Macaca fascicularis: one gene and its partner. The protein of the gene in region 1 interacts with the protein of each later gene in a pairwise test. Links are inferred from orthologs where the notes say so. Each region holds a gene or a part of one and is shown in the gene's direction. Other genes may lie near its edges.

Region 1 (7,062 bases):
GCCACTGCACTCCAGCCTGGCCAACAGAGTGAGACTCCGTCTCAAAAAACAAAACAAACAAAAACATAATTATCTATACTAGATCCTGATTTATATTGATCTTTGATAATGAAGGTGGTATTGGAACATTTCTCTGTGTATTGTTTAATACCCTGGGCTGTATTCGCCTTGTATGAAATTCTCAGTTGTCAAGACCTGTCTCTCAGGAGCTTCCACATGTATTCCATGGCTTGATTTCAGAATTCATGAAAAGGATAAATTAATTTGAATTTTAGTTTTGTGTCATTCCCTACCCAAAGGATCTCAAAGTCACATCTTCCAATCAGTGGCATTAGTTATCTGTCCTGATCATTGGACTCCCAAGTCTTAGTAAACACATAAAAAATAAGGGAAAAGCTCTATCTTGAGCGCAGTGAATACTCAATAAGAAGGTATAAATTCTGTAAGGCAAATTGGGTTTTGGCCCATCTGCAGCCAGCACACAATGTAAACCCCTTTACCTATTCCTAAAATGCTGCTCAGTAATAAATGTCTCTGGCCGGGCGCGGTGGCTCAAGCCTGCAATCCCAGCACTTTGGGAGGCCCAGATGGGCGGAGATCAAGACCATCCTGGCTAACACGGTGAAACCCTGTCTCTACTAAAAAATACAAAAATCTAGCCGGGCGAGGTGGCGGACGCCTGTAGTCCCAGCTACTCGAGAGGCTGAGGCAGGAGAATGGCGTAAACCCGGGAGGTGGAGCTTGCAGTGAGCTGAGATGCAGCCACTGCACTCCAGCCTGGGCGACAGAGCGAGACTCCGTCTCAAAAAAAAAAAAAAATATTAAATGTCTCTATCAGTTGCCTCCTTTCTCATCCAGCTACTCCCTACAAATTCATTCTCTTTGAGATCTGCCTTAATCTTTCAATATATCTTCAATCTTTGTTTTGGATTCATTGTTTACACTATTAAGAACCTAGGAATTATCTGGATTTTCTTATGAACAGTAATGAGAAAATTTTTGTTTCAAGTAATTTTCAATTGGGCTTTTAACATTAGCAGTTACCATTACTGGATGCTAAGATATTATGTAGATACTATACCAGAATGTTTAAAATATGACTTCATTATAACCTACCAACCCTACGGAGATAGGTGACATTTTCACTAGTTTTCAGATGTAGCTACAACTCAGATAATTAACATGCCCAAGATCATAAAGCTAGTAGTACCATAAAATGGCCTACAGTGGATTCAAACTAAGTCTATCTGACTCAAAAACCTATTCTTGGACTCTTCAGAATTTATCTTTCTACTTTTACAGATCACTTCCTCTGACTTTTGTATATTTCATTTGTATCTATGTCCAGAGTTAACATTTTAATGTTCCTGACTTTGAGAACAGATGTAAATTGAATGCCCAGACTCATTTGCAAAGCAAAATATAATAATAAAGTTCATTCCCATTAGAATATAAAATGTGAATGTAAAGATGGTTAGGTTTGAATTTTGATTATTTTGCTCTATTTAAATTCATTTGTCATTGTTATAATCTAGCTTTAGCTGAAATATCTGTATAGAACAAAAATTTTTAAACTCTGCCCCATCACAATTCCCCCAACAAAAATATTAATTTTTAAAATCCAGTTTATCAATTTCTACTTACTCTATCAATTTTGAACTATGAGACCTTGCAAAAGAATTACTAGGCCAGGTGTAGTGGCTCATCCCTGGCATTTCAACACTTTGGAAGGCCAGAGTGGGAGGATTACTTGAGCCGAGGAGTTCAAGACAAGCCTGGGCAACATAGAGAGACCTTATCTCTAGAAGGAAAAAAAAAAAATTAGCTGGGTATGGTGGCACACACCTGTAGTTCCAGCTACTCAGGAGGCTGAAATGGAAGAGTCACTTGATCCCGGAGGTCAACGCTGCAGTGAGCCATGATCAGAATTTCTAAAATTCTTTTCATTCTACAATTTTGCTTCTTTCTATATGAAAAGCCTCTTTGGGTGATTCATATTTTTTTAAAATAAATTCCTAATTATTTCAATAAAGTTTGTTTTTCAGGGGTCTTTAAGAATTTAGAGAGAATTAAAATAGTTTTGTGTTTAATGGCTCTGATTCTGTAATCAGACAATTACGGTTGTAACATTTAATATCTAGGACATCCAAGAAAAATTAACCTCTCTGAGCCTTTGTTTTCTTTTCTATAAAATGGTGTGGGACCCACGTCATAAAGTTGTTTAAAAAAAAAGTTATATGAATCACTTTCCATAGTACTTTGCACAATAGGAGTTAGCTATTAATATTTTTATTTAGATTTTGTGGTTTGTTCTTTGTAAATCAGAATCATAGCATACAGCTAGAAGAAACCCTTGGTGATCATTTTATCTAGCACCCTTATATTTCATATGAAGCCTGGAGAAAGGGCAAAAGCTGACTTTTAAGGTTTGGTGGCAAGTTGATGATGGACCTCTAACGAGTTCCATCTGCCTTGGGTTAGCAGGAGGGGTGCAAGATTGTGTTGCTGTTATTGTATTGTTTTGTTCTTATCTTTAATGATTCCTTACTCACATTGAAACTATTAAGTTGTTTCCATTTTTATTTATGCAATGATTTTATCACCATAGTAGGTTGGCATGAATACATTTTCTTCTTTGCTTACCTTAGCTAGCTTCCTTTTCACTCGGAAAGATAAGTCCGTCACACCCAAAAAGATAAGTCTGCAGTATTAGAGATGATGCTTTTGTGTTCAGCACTGTAAGACAAAAAGTTTATGGTCTTTAATGGTTTTATACTCATCTTACTCTTCTGGTAACTTTCTGTGACGATAAGACATTGTTTCCAGCAGTAGTGGAGTGTGCCTTATGTTTTGAGTGCTGATTAAGTGAAGGCCTTCTGATCCATCTACAAAGCAGTGGTGGTTGCAATAAAGATAGCAATATTTTTATCTCTGTTCTGTCTTGTGTTGTAGAGCCGACAATTAGAATCAGAAACTGGGACCACAGAGGAGCACAGTCTAAATAAGGAAGCTCGAAAATGGGCCACACGTGTGGCACGTGAGCATAAAAACATTGTTCATCAACAACGGGTAAGTATAAGAGAAAGTCCTAGTTACATTCACCTTAAGCCAAATGTCAAACAGTTTAAGGAGCTGAGTTTTATTAATGTGAAAAATATCCTATATGTGTTGTTTTGTTTTGTTTTGTTTTGTTTGAGACAAGAGGCTTGCTCTGTCACCCAGGTTGAAGGGCAGTGGTGTGAACATAGCTTACTGCAGCTTCAACCTCCTGGGCTGAAGCAATCCTCCCACTTCAGCCTCCCAAGTAGCTGGGACCACAGGCACACACCACCATGCCTGGCTAATTTTTTTTAGGTTTTTTGTAGAGATAGGGTCTTGCCATGTTTCCCAGGCTGGTCTCAAACTCCTTTGCTCAAGCATTGTATGTGTTTTTTCTGTACTTTCTCAACACTTAGCAGTGTGCTGTCAGCTATCTACTCATGTTGGAATTTCCTTAAGCCCTCCATCAGCAATACATTAATTCACCAGTTTACCATAAAATTGCCAAAGAAAAGCTGTGATAGTGTGTTACGGGCAGGGGAAGAGACATATGTTGAATTAATACAGGTTTTCATCCCTCAAGACATATTTTTTAAAGACACAATTATAGGTTTCATGAAAATATATGTTTGGCTGGGCGCAGTGGGTCATGCCTGTAATCCCAGAACTTTGGGAGGCTGAGGCAGGTCGATTGCTTGAGCCAGGAGTTTCAGACCAGCCTGAGCAACATGGCAAAAAACCCAGTCTCTACAAAAAATTCAAAAATTAGTCGGACATGGTGGCACACACCTATCTTCCCACCTATTCGGGAGGCTAAGGTTGGGGAGAATTGCTTGAGCCCAGGAGGTGGAGGTTACATTGAGGTAAGATCATGCCACTGCACTCCAGCCTGGGTGACAGGGCAAGACACTGTCTCGAAAGAAAAGAAAAGAAAGGGAAGGAGAAAGGGAAGGAGGACAGGAAGAAGGATGGGAAAGAGGAAGGGAAGGAAGAAGGGAGAAAATATATCTCAAAGACTAAACTCTAAGCACAAAGAAATTATTTTCAGTATAGTACTTTTTTTCTCAATTTCATTTATTGATACCTATATCCTTCTCATTCTTTGCTTTCACATCCTACTTCTTAAAAGAATTGCCTATGCTTATTATCTATAGAATCTCACCTCCCACTTACTTTTTAGCCCATTACATTTGAGCTTTCCTTTCCTTTCCTTCCCCCTGTATCACTTCATAGTCTAAGCTTACCAAAATCACCAATGATGTCTGTGTTGCTAACTTCAAAATGGACAGTTTGATTTCTCATTTTTCTTAATCTGTCAACAATTTTATCACAATTGACAACTCCCTTTGTCTTAAAATGTTATCTTCTCTAGTCATCCACGATTCAACATTGTCCTGGCTTTCCTTCTGCCTTTCTGGCTATTCCTAGATTTTTTCATAGTTTCCTCTTTCTCCAGCCCACAATTAAATATTCATTTTCTCAGATTGTTTGGCTATCTTGTTTTTTTTATTCTTTATCCTCATATAGGCATTCTCAATCACTTCCATGGTTTTACTTTACCACCAAATCATAAATTATTATCTTCAACATTGGGCCTAGCTACTACTGTGTATCCATATAACCTCTTTCCTGTTTTGACATCTTTTCACTATCTCACAGGCATCTCAGATTCAATGTTCTACTTATGTAATGTTGCTTAACAAACCACCTCAAACTTAATGCCGTAGAACAAGAGGGTTTTTACATTATCTCTCACTAATCTGAGTATTGGGTGGTCTCAGCTTAGCAGTTTCCCTTGGGGTCTCTCATGTGGCGTCAGTCAGACAGTGGCTGGTCCTGGCTTCCCCACTGAAGGGACTCTCTGTAGTAAGTTTGTTACTAGTAAGTCTATAATTATTTCAAAATGTTCAAAAAATAAATAAATGAAAAAAATTGTGGCTACTAGTCACTAAAGCCTTTTGAATTATGTAAATACTCTAATCACTTAAGGAAGATAAAAAGTAAAAAACAGTCATCATTATTGTCCCATTTTTTTTAATAGGTTCTAGATGATCTGGAGTGTCATGGACCTGCTGTATCAGAACAAAGCCGAGCAGAGCTGGAACAGAAAATAGATGAAGCTAGAGAAAATATTCGTAAAGCAGAGGTAAGGTGGCAGCTAACTGTGGCATTTTGCCCAGGTCTAATGACACTGTCGCAACTGTGATATGCACCTTTAAAACTGAGTTGCTACACACACTGAGATGAAGGTGATTCACCGTCTTCATTCGTGTCCACAGTAGGATTTTTTTTTTTTTTTTTTTTTTTTGAGACGGAGTCTCGCTCTGCTGCCCAGGCTGGAGGTGCAGTGCACGATCTCGGCTTACTGCAAGCTCCTCCTCCCAGGTTCATGCCATTCTCCTGCCTCAGCCTCCCGAGTAGCTGGGACTACAGGCGCCTGCCACCACGCCCAGCTAATTTTTTTTTGTATCTTTTTAGTAGAGACGGGGTTTCACCATGTTAGCCAGGATGGTCTCTATCTCCTGACCTCGTGATCCACCTGCCTTGGCCTCCTAAAGTGCTAGGATTACAGGCGTGAGCTACTACACCCGGCCATCCACAGTAGTATTTGTTAAGTACCTGCTCTGTGGAAGGCAGTACATATAACAAAAAGATGCCGTAAAGTTTACAGTCATGAAACATTAAATACAAAAGATTTAAGTCACAATGAAGATACTAATTTTAAAATTTCTACAAGGTACATAATAAACCACAGAGATTAATGGTAGAAAAATCGACGTATGTGTATCAATTTAGAGATATATATCAATTTAGATATATCTATCTCCTTATATATCAATATATATGGAGATATATATACATATATATTCATACATATATATTCAGAGCTTGGGAAATCTCCCCCATATGGAAGGTTCCCTGGATCCAGGGACATGAGCTGGGCTTTTAAGAATAGGGAAGATTTGGTTAAGCAAAGATGGGAAAAAATTTATAATAGTGGATTTTAATTTTTTATGGAGTCTTGGGACCTTTGAGAGTTGTATGAAAGCTGTGAAACATTCTCTCCCACGTACAAAAATGTACATTTTGTATACGGTGTTTAGAGTTCATATGCCTGAGGCTAATACTCTCTGCTCTAGATGGGGAGAGGTTGGGATAGGAAACAAGAAAGTATTAGCAAATGAGGAAGACACAGGGTATAATTTGGTAGCTGGATAGATTAGAGTGGAGGATTTTTGTGAGGAAATGTGATAGAAAATAAGTAAACTTGTTGTGGTTAGGGCCAGTTCATGGAGGACCCGTGCACACACTATCTACTCAGCAGCAACATGATGAAGGGGTATAGAGATAGACATTCATAAAAGACTGACACCATCCAGCCATCAAAAGATTATGTTCTTGTTAGAAAGGCATAAAGAATGCCAAAAATAACTAAGATGGTAAAGCATAAGTGCGGAGGAGTGGTGCATTAAGTGTAGTTGAAGAATCCAGAGGACACAGAAATCACTCTGGGAGGGATTGTTTTGGGTGTAACACAGAAGAAGACTTAAGATGAATACTGGCAGATGAATAGTATTTGATTAGTCAGATAAAAGGGGATAGCACAGACTTATGCCATGTAACTTCAAGAGGAAGAACTTGAACCAAAAGATGAAGGTAGGAAAGAAGTAGATGTGAGTTTAGTATTGGGAAATACTTTCTAGTAGTCAGATCTTCCCAAAGACAGGATAAGCACCCGTGAGACATAGTGTAGCCCTGTAAGTGTGTAAGAAAATTGTGGGCAAGCATCTTTCAGGGACCCAATGCAAGGAACCCCTGCATTGGTTTAGGGTTAATCTAAACTAGTGGTTTTCTAGCACCCCCTTAGAACTCTAGAAGTTTTGAGGAAGTGCTTCACTGGTTGTGGCGTGAAGCGAGAGGCAGCATAGACAAGCATAGAGAATATGGGCATGTTTTTGGCACAGCCCCATGGAAGTGATCTGAATCAGAACAGGCTTGCCATCTGCCTGGGCTGGAGAAACC
Region 2 (6,175 bases), on another chromosome or scaffold:
AACAATGTGAGGTTTGTTGTTAAACTTGCTGTGCACCTATTTCTAGAGCATCTTTGGTCTCCTGTCTCCACTCCTGCAGAGTATTGCTGGCTGGAGCAGATGTGAACCTGGCATGGGGCCGCCGTTACGGGCTGGTGGGGCGGAATGGGTTGGGGAAGACAACATTACTGAAGATGCTAGCCACCCGGAGTCTGCGGGTTCCAGCCCACATTTCCCTGCTGCACGTTGAGCAAGAGGTTGCTGGAGATGACACTCCTGCCCTGCAGAGTGTGCTGGAGAGTGACAGTGTGCGAGAGGATTTGCTACGGCGGGAGCGGGAGCTCAGTGCCCAGATTGCTGCTGGCAGGTGAGGGCTTCCGGCTAGGGAGCAACCAGCAGCTGCTGTCCCTCACAGAGTGCCTGCCCTCCTGGAACAATCCATAATTTGCATGTCCATCCTAGTAATCCGCAGAGCTTAGAACTTGGCGCTCTGGGACTCAAAAGCCCTTGTTCTTTCCACAGTGCCCATTTCCATAGTGCCCAAGGTAATGAGCACTGTGCAAACCCTTCCTGTATTCTCTTCCTCTTCCAGCCACAAGGTAGCCAATGGCCTTCTTTCCAATGGTATAAGGTGCAGGACATCCTCCTAGACTGCCCCCACTTAGGCCAATTGCTGTTTCTCCTCCCTCCAGGGCAGAGGGCTCTGAAGCTGCAGAGCTGGCAGAAATCTATGCCAAGCTGGAGGAGATTGAGGCTGACAAGGCACCTGCTAGGTATTTAAAGCTCCCCCTCCCTCCTTCAGATTTCCTTTCCCTTCTGTGGACTGTTCCAACTGAGTTCTTCAATTTCTTCTCTACTAGGGCATCAGTCATTCTCGCTGGGCTTGGCTTTACCCCTAAAATGCAGCAGCAACCCACCCGGTGAGTGACCCTTGCCATTCTTGGCCTTGAACCCTGTTGTCTCAGCCGCTTCCTGCCCTGATGAACACCCACCCCTAATGTGGCTCCATCATTCTTTAGGGAGTTCTCAGGTGGCTGGAGGATGAGGCTGGCCCTTGCCCGGGCCCTATTTGCTAGGTGAGTTTTCTGGGCCAGTGTATGAAGCCCTATGGAAGATTGGTCTTAGCTCTTGGGAGGTGGCATGAGTTGCTGACCTAAAATCTCGTGCGGTGTATTCTTTTTCATAGGCCAGATCTTCTGCTGTTAGATGGTGAGTTTGAAATGGGGTACCCTGACTTTAGAATGGACGGGGGTGGTAGCATCCAAGTTCCTAGTTCTCCAGCCCTTCAATCCCAAGTGTGTGCTCCCCTCCTTCTCCAGAACCTACAAACATGCTGGATGTCAGGGCCATACTGTGGCTGGAGAATTACCTGCAGGTGAGTGCCTGTGGGTGCTGGAGTGGGTTGGGGAAAGTCGGCTTCCAAGATACCTGGGGGCCTGAGAACTGACTGCCCTCCCAAACTGGGCCTGCTGTCCTGTGACCCCTCAGACGTGGCCCTCCACAATCCTAGTCGTCTCCCACGACCGCAACTTCTTGAATGCCATCGCCACGGACATCATCCACCTGCACAGCCAGCGGCTAGATGGTTACCGGGGAGACTTTGAGACCTTCATCAAGAGTAAGCAGGAGCGGCTGCTCAACCAGCAGCGTGAATACGAAGCACAGCAGCAGTATCGCCAGCATATCCAGGTGTGGGGCCTGGCAGGGCTGGGGGTCCCATCCCAGGGGTTCTAGAGTGGGGGATGTGGGGGAGTTTGACCAATGCCTGCACTCTTCCACCTGCAGGTTTTCATTGACCGGTTTCGCTACAATGCCAACAGGGCCTCTCAAGTGCAGAGTAAACTCAAGATGCTGGAGAAGCTGTGAGTACAGCATCCTTGGCCAGGCCTTGACTCCTGTTCTCTCGGTCTCCTTCCTCATTTGCAGGCCACCCTTGCCCTACCATTCCAGGTCTCCCCTTCGCTAGAAGCCACCTGTGACTTCCTCCTCTGCTGGGAGGCAGAGTATTCCACATTGTTCTTGGAAGGCTAATCTTGACTAGCACGTGGCAACCACTAATTTACTTCCTGTTTCTGCTTCTGTGTATCTGCTTATTCTGGGCGTTTCATATAAATGGAATCATACAGTATGTGACCTTTGTGCCTGGCGTCTTTCACCTGGCATCATGTGTGAGGCTCATCCATGTTGTAGCGCGTGTCAGAACTTCATTTCTTTTCGTGGCTGGATAATATTCTATTGTATGGATATACAGCATTTTGTTTATTGAGTCATTAGGGGACATTTGGGTTGTTTCCATTTTGGTTATTATGAGTAATGTTGCTGTGAACACTGGTGTACAAATTTTTGTGTGGTCATATGTTTTCAGCTTGCTTGGGTGCATACCTAGGGACAGAATTGCTGGGTTACATGGTAATTCCACATTAATGTTTTGAGGAACTGTCAAACTGTTTTCTAAAGCAGCAACATCATTTTACATTCCTACCAACAAGGAATGAGAGTTCCGATTTCTCCACGTCTTTGGCAACACTGTTATTGACTGTTTGTTTTTTTAGTTTTAGCCATCCTAGTGGCTGTGAAGTGATAGCTCATTGTGGTTTTGATTTGCATTTCCTTAATAACCAATGACAGTGTGCACTGGGAGTTTAACGTTGAAGTGCCCTTTCTATAAGTGCTGGCAGGAAGCTTAAAATCATAAGGCTTAGATGTTTGCAATGTGGAAACATATCACGATATAGTAACTGGGGGTAAAAAGTCACAAAAAGCCTAATTCTATTTTTTAGCATTTAGTAAACGAGAACAGTGTACTCTAAAGTAATGATACCTGAGTGGTAGGAGTACAAGCCCTTTCTAAGTTTTCTCTGAACATATATTACTTGTGTAGGAAGTTATTTTTTTAAGTCATAAATCTAGTCTACCTGATCTCTTCCCCCAGGCCTGAGCTGAAGCCTGTGGACAAGGAATCAGAGGTCGTAATGAAGTAAGTGCTGGGCCAGTGGGGTTGGTGGGGAATTGCTTGCTTCCAACTGCCCCCACATCCTCACCCCTACCTCCTGCAGATTCCCTGATGGGTTTGAGAAGTTCTCGCCGCCAATTCTGCAGCTAGATGAGGTGGATTTCTACTATGATCCGAAGCACGTCATCTTCAGTCGCCTCTCCGTGTCTGCTGATCTCGAGTCTCGCATCTGTGTGGTATGGCTGCTGTTTCTCTGTGCTGTGAGCTGGGAGTCTCCCGTCTCAGTGTGTGGTGTGGATTGGCCCAGATCCTCAAGCTGTAAAGGGATGAGGTCCATGGAACAGGAGAGAGGACCTGGGCTAAGGACTTTGCAGGACTTATACTAGCCACGTCCTCTGGCCGCACAGCGCTGCTCTTCAGGGAGGAAGAGCCTGGTATATAGTGTTTTAAAAATACTTAAAGCAGTGCTTTACCTTATTGATCTCAGTTCTGAGTTTTCTAAATCTTGAGACATTGAGGAGACAGCATGGGCTTCAGGGTCAGACTTCGGATCTTGACTATACCATTGCCTAGCTTGGTTACCAAGCAGCTTCCTCATCCTTAAGATGGCGCTGGCATCTACCTGGGATGGTATTGGAAGAAGTAAGTCCCCCCCAGCACTTAGCAAATACTCAAGTATTGCTCCCCTTAGTACATGTATTTTTCTTTTTTTTTTTTTTTGAGACAGAGTCCCACCCTGTTGCCCAGGCTTTTCTATGGCACGATCTTGGCTCACTGCAACTTACGCCTCCTGGGTTCGAACAGTTCTGCCTCAGCCTCATGAGTAGCTGAGATTATAGGCATCTGCCACCATGCCCAACTTATTTTTTGTATTTTTAGCAGAGACAGCGTTTCACCATGTTGGCCAGGCTGGTCTCAAACTCCTGACCTCAAATGATCTGCTTGCCTCGGCCTCCCAAAGTGCTGGGATTACAGGCGTGAGCCACTGCGCCCGGCTAGAGTCCTTAAAAATATTTTTTTGGTTGTTGAAGGAGTCATTGGGACTGGGGACTGCCTGAGACCCCTTCTAATTTCCTTCCCTTCTGTGTTACACACAGCGGTGCTCTTTTTATTGATACGTAATTATACATGTTTATGGGGTACAGAGTGATATTTCCATACATGTATACAATGTGTAATGTTCGAATCAGGGTAATTAGCATATTCACCGTAAACATTTATCACTTTATGTTGGGAACATTCAAAATCTTCTAGCTTTTTAAAAATGTACAATCAGTCATTGTGAACTGTAGCGTCCCTGCAGTGCTGTAGAACCCTCGAACTTATTTCTCCATTCCTCCTATCTAGCTACAATTCTGTTTTGGTTAACCAACCTCTCCCGATCCCCTCTCTCAATTCCCCTCCTCCCCGCTTACCCTTCCCAGCCTCTAGTAACCAGAACTCTACTCTCTACTTCTATGTGCTAAACATTTTCTAGTGCCCACATATGAGTGAGAACTTACAGTATTTATTTTTCTGGCACACACTGTATGACGTTTTCACGTTTCTTAAGGTTGGAGAGAATGGGGCCGGGAAGTCTACCATGCTGAAGCTGCTTATGGGGGACCTGGCACCTGTTCGGGGCATCAGACACGCTCACAGGTCAGAGGCACCCCCGCCCATGAGCACATTTGCAGGCACCCATGCTTCCTGCACTCCTTCATGGCTGTTGCCTTTGTCTGCTTTTCCACCTCGGTTTCTGTCTTCAGGAATCTGAAGATTGGCTATTTCAGCCAGCACCACGTGGAGCAGCTGGACCTGAACATCAGTGCTGTGGAACTGCTGGCACGCAAGTTTCCTGGTGAGTTGGAGATTTGAGTGGGGAAAGAGGGATGAGGCTGACCCCGGCAGCTAGACCTGCCTTGGAGTGAGTGCAGAGCAGCCCTCCCAAGCCTAGATGGAAGGACATGGGGACTTGGAGGTGTGGCTGGAGGGTACAGGGAGGGAGTTGGGCCAAGAAACCACCTGATCTGGGGAGTCCTTTTCCAGGGCGGCCTGAGGAGGAGTACCGTCACCAGCTGGGTCGGTATGGCATCTCCGGAGAGCTGGCTATGCGCCCTGTTGCCAGCTTGTCTGGGGGCCAGAAGAGCCGAGTGGCCTTTGCTCAGATGACTATGCCCTGGTGAGGCCTCATTTTCTAGAGCTCTTCCCCTCCCATTTCCCCTTCTTGCCCAGTAGAAAACCGTATCAGAAGGCTTTATTTTCTCTCACCGCACCCCTTCACTGCCTACCTTCCTGGGTTCTGCCTTCCAGCCCCAACTTCTACATTCTGGATGAACCCACAAACCACCTGGACATGGAGACCATCGAGGCTCTGGGCCGTGCCCTCAACAATTTCAGGGTGAGTGTGCCTTCACCCTGCCCACTCCTCCCCAGGCCTCGGTGCCTCTCGTGTCCCCCTCAGCACCTCCTGCTCTCGTGTCTTTCAGGGTGGCGTGATTCTGGTGTCCCACAATGAACGCTTTATCAGGCTGGTGTGCCGGGAGTTATGGGTGTGCGAAGGAGGCGGTGTCACCCGCGTGGAAGGAGGATTTGACCAGTACCGCGCCCTCCTCCAGGAACAGTTCCGCCGCGAAGGCTTCCTTTAGGGCTACCAGGCTGAGGACTCGCCCAGGACATGGACTGGTCTCTCAGACCCCTGGGCCACCACATAGGCCACCAACTCCAGGCCGTGGACTTCCCCCAACTTGGGGACAGCCTTATTCCCAAATGTCTCTCTCCTTTTGACTGGAGCATCTTCTGCACAACCTTGGGAGCCCATCCAAGGGTTGGTGAGGACTGGTTTCCCGGGGGCCGGCGGTCTGGGGGTACCCTCTGGGGTTATAGGTTTCCCCACTGCCCCAGCTCTGACTGGACCCCAAGTGGCTGCTATGTAAATTAAATGTCTCCCTGCATCTCCTTTGCCTCATGTCTGCTGCTCCCTGGGCAGTGGTTGCCTCCTATTGAGGGCTATGGACTCTCAGATTGGCCTTTTCCTATGGCACTTGTATCACTCACGTGGAGGAAGCAATGGCAGCACCAGCCTTGCCTCTAGAAGAAACATTGTCAAGCTGCTGGGGCATTGAGGTCATCTGCCTGCCTGACCTTGGGGTGGGCTGAGCCAGTGGAATGAAGGGCAGTGTATTGGCATCACTGCGGTGCTGTTAGCCCTAGCCTGGGCTCAGCCTCAGCTGAAGGGGTCTTGGGTTCTGCCACCACAGCCCC

Evidence for each region.
Region 2: the proteins of FCHSD2 (region 1) and ABCF3 interact in binary tests that used the Homo sapiens proteins (3 or more experiments, as listed by UniProt). The two-hybrid records come from large-scale screens. The link is inferred for Macaca fascicularis from reciprocal best matches to the Homo sapiens genes FCHSD2 and ABCF3.

Annotation. Positions count from the first base shown.
Region 1 is NC_088388.1:71,690,424-71,697,485, reverse strand, and holds part of FCHSD2 (F-BAR and double SH3 domains protein 2), read left to right. Parts: intron 1-2,952; coding exon 2,953-3,069; intron 3,070-5,080; coding exon 5,081-5,185; intron 5,186-7,062. UniProt on the Homo sapiens protein: Adapter protein that plays a role in endocytosis via clathrin-coated pits. Contributes to the internalization of cell surface receptors, such as integrin ITGB1 and transferrin receptor.
Region 2 is NC_088376.1:96,107,259-96,113,433, forward strand, and holds the end of ABCF3 (ATP-binding cassette sub-family F member 3), read left to right. Parts: intron 1-79; coding exon 80-346; intron 347-671; coding exon 672-752; intron 753-839; coding exon 840-899; intron 900-998; coding exon 999-1,055; intron 1,056-1,165; coding exon 1,166-1,188; intron 1,189-1,298; coding exon 1,299-1,354; intron 1,355-1,467; coding exon 1,468-1,668; intron 1,669-1,764; coding exon 1,765-1,841; intron 1,842-2,911; coding exon 2,912-2,956; intron 2,957-3,035; coding exon 3,036-3,168; exon of another isoform or gene 3,169-3,366; intron 3,367-4,484; coding exon 4,485-4,573; intron 4,574-4,680; coding exon 4,681-4,772; intron 4,773-4,960; coding exon 4,961-5,093; intron 5,094-5,149; coding exon of another isoform or gene 5,150-5,224; coding exon 5,225-5,312; intron 5,313-5,400; coding exon 5,401-5,559; 3' UTR 5,560-5,865; downstream 5,866-6,175.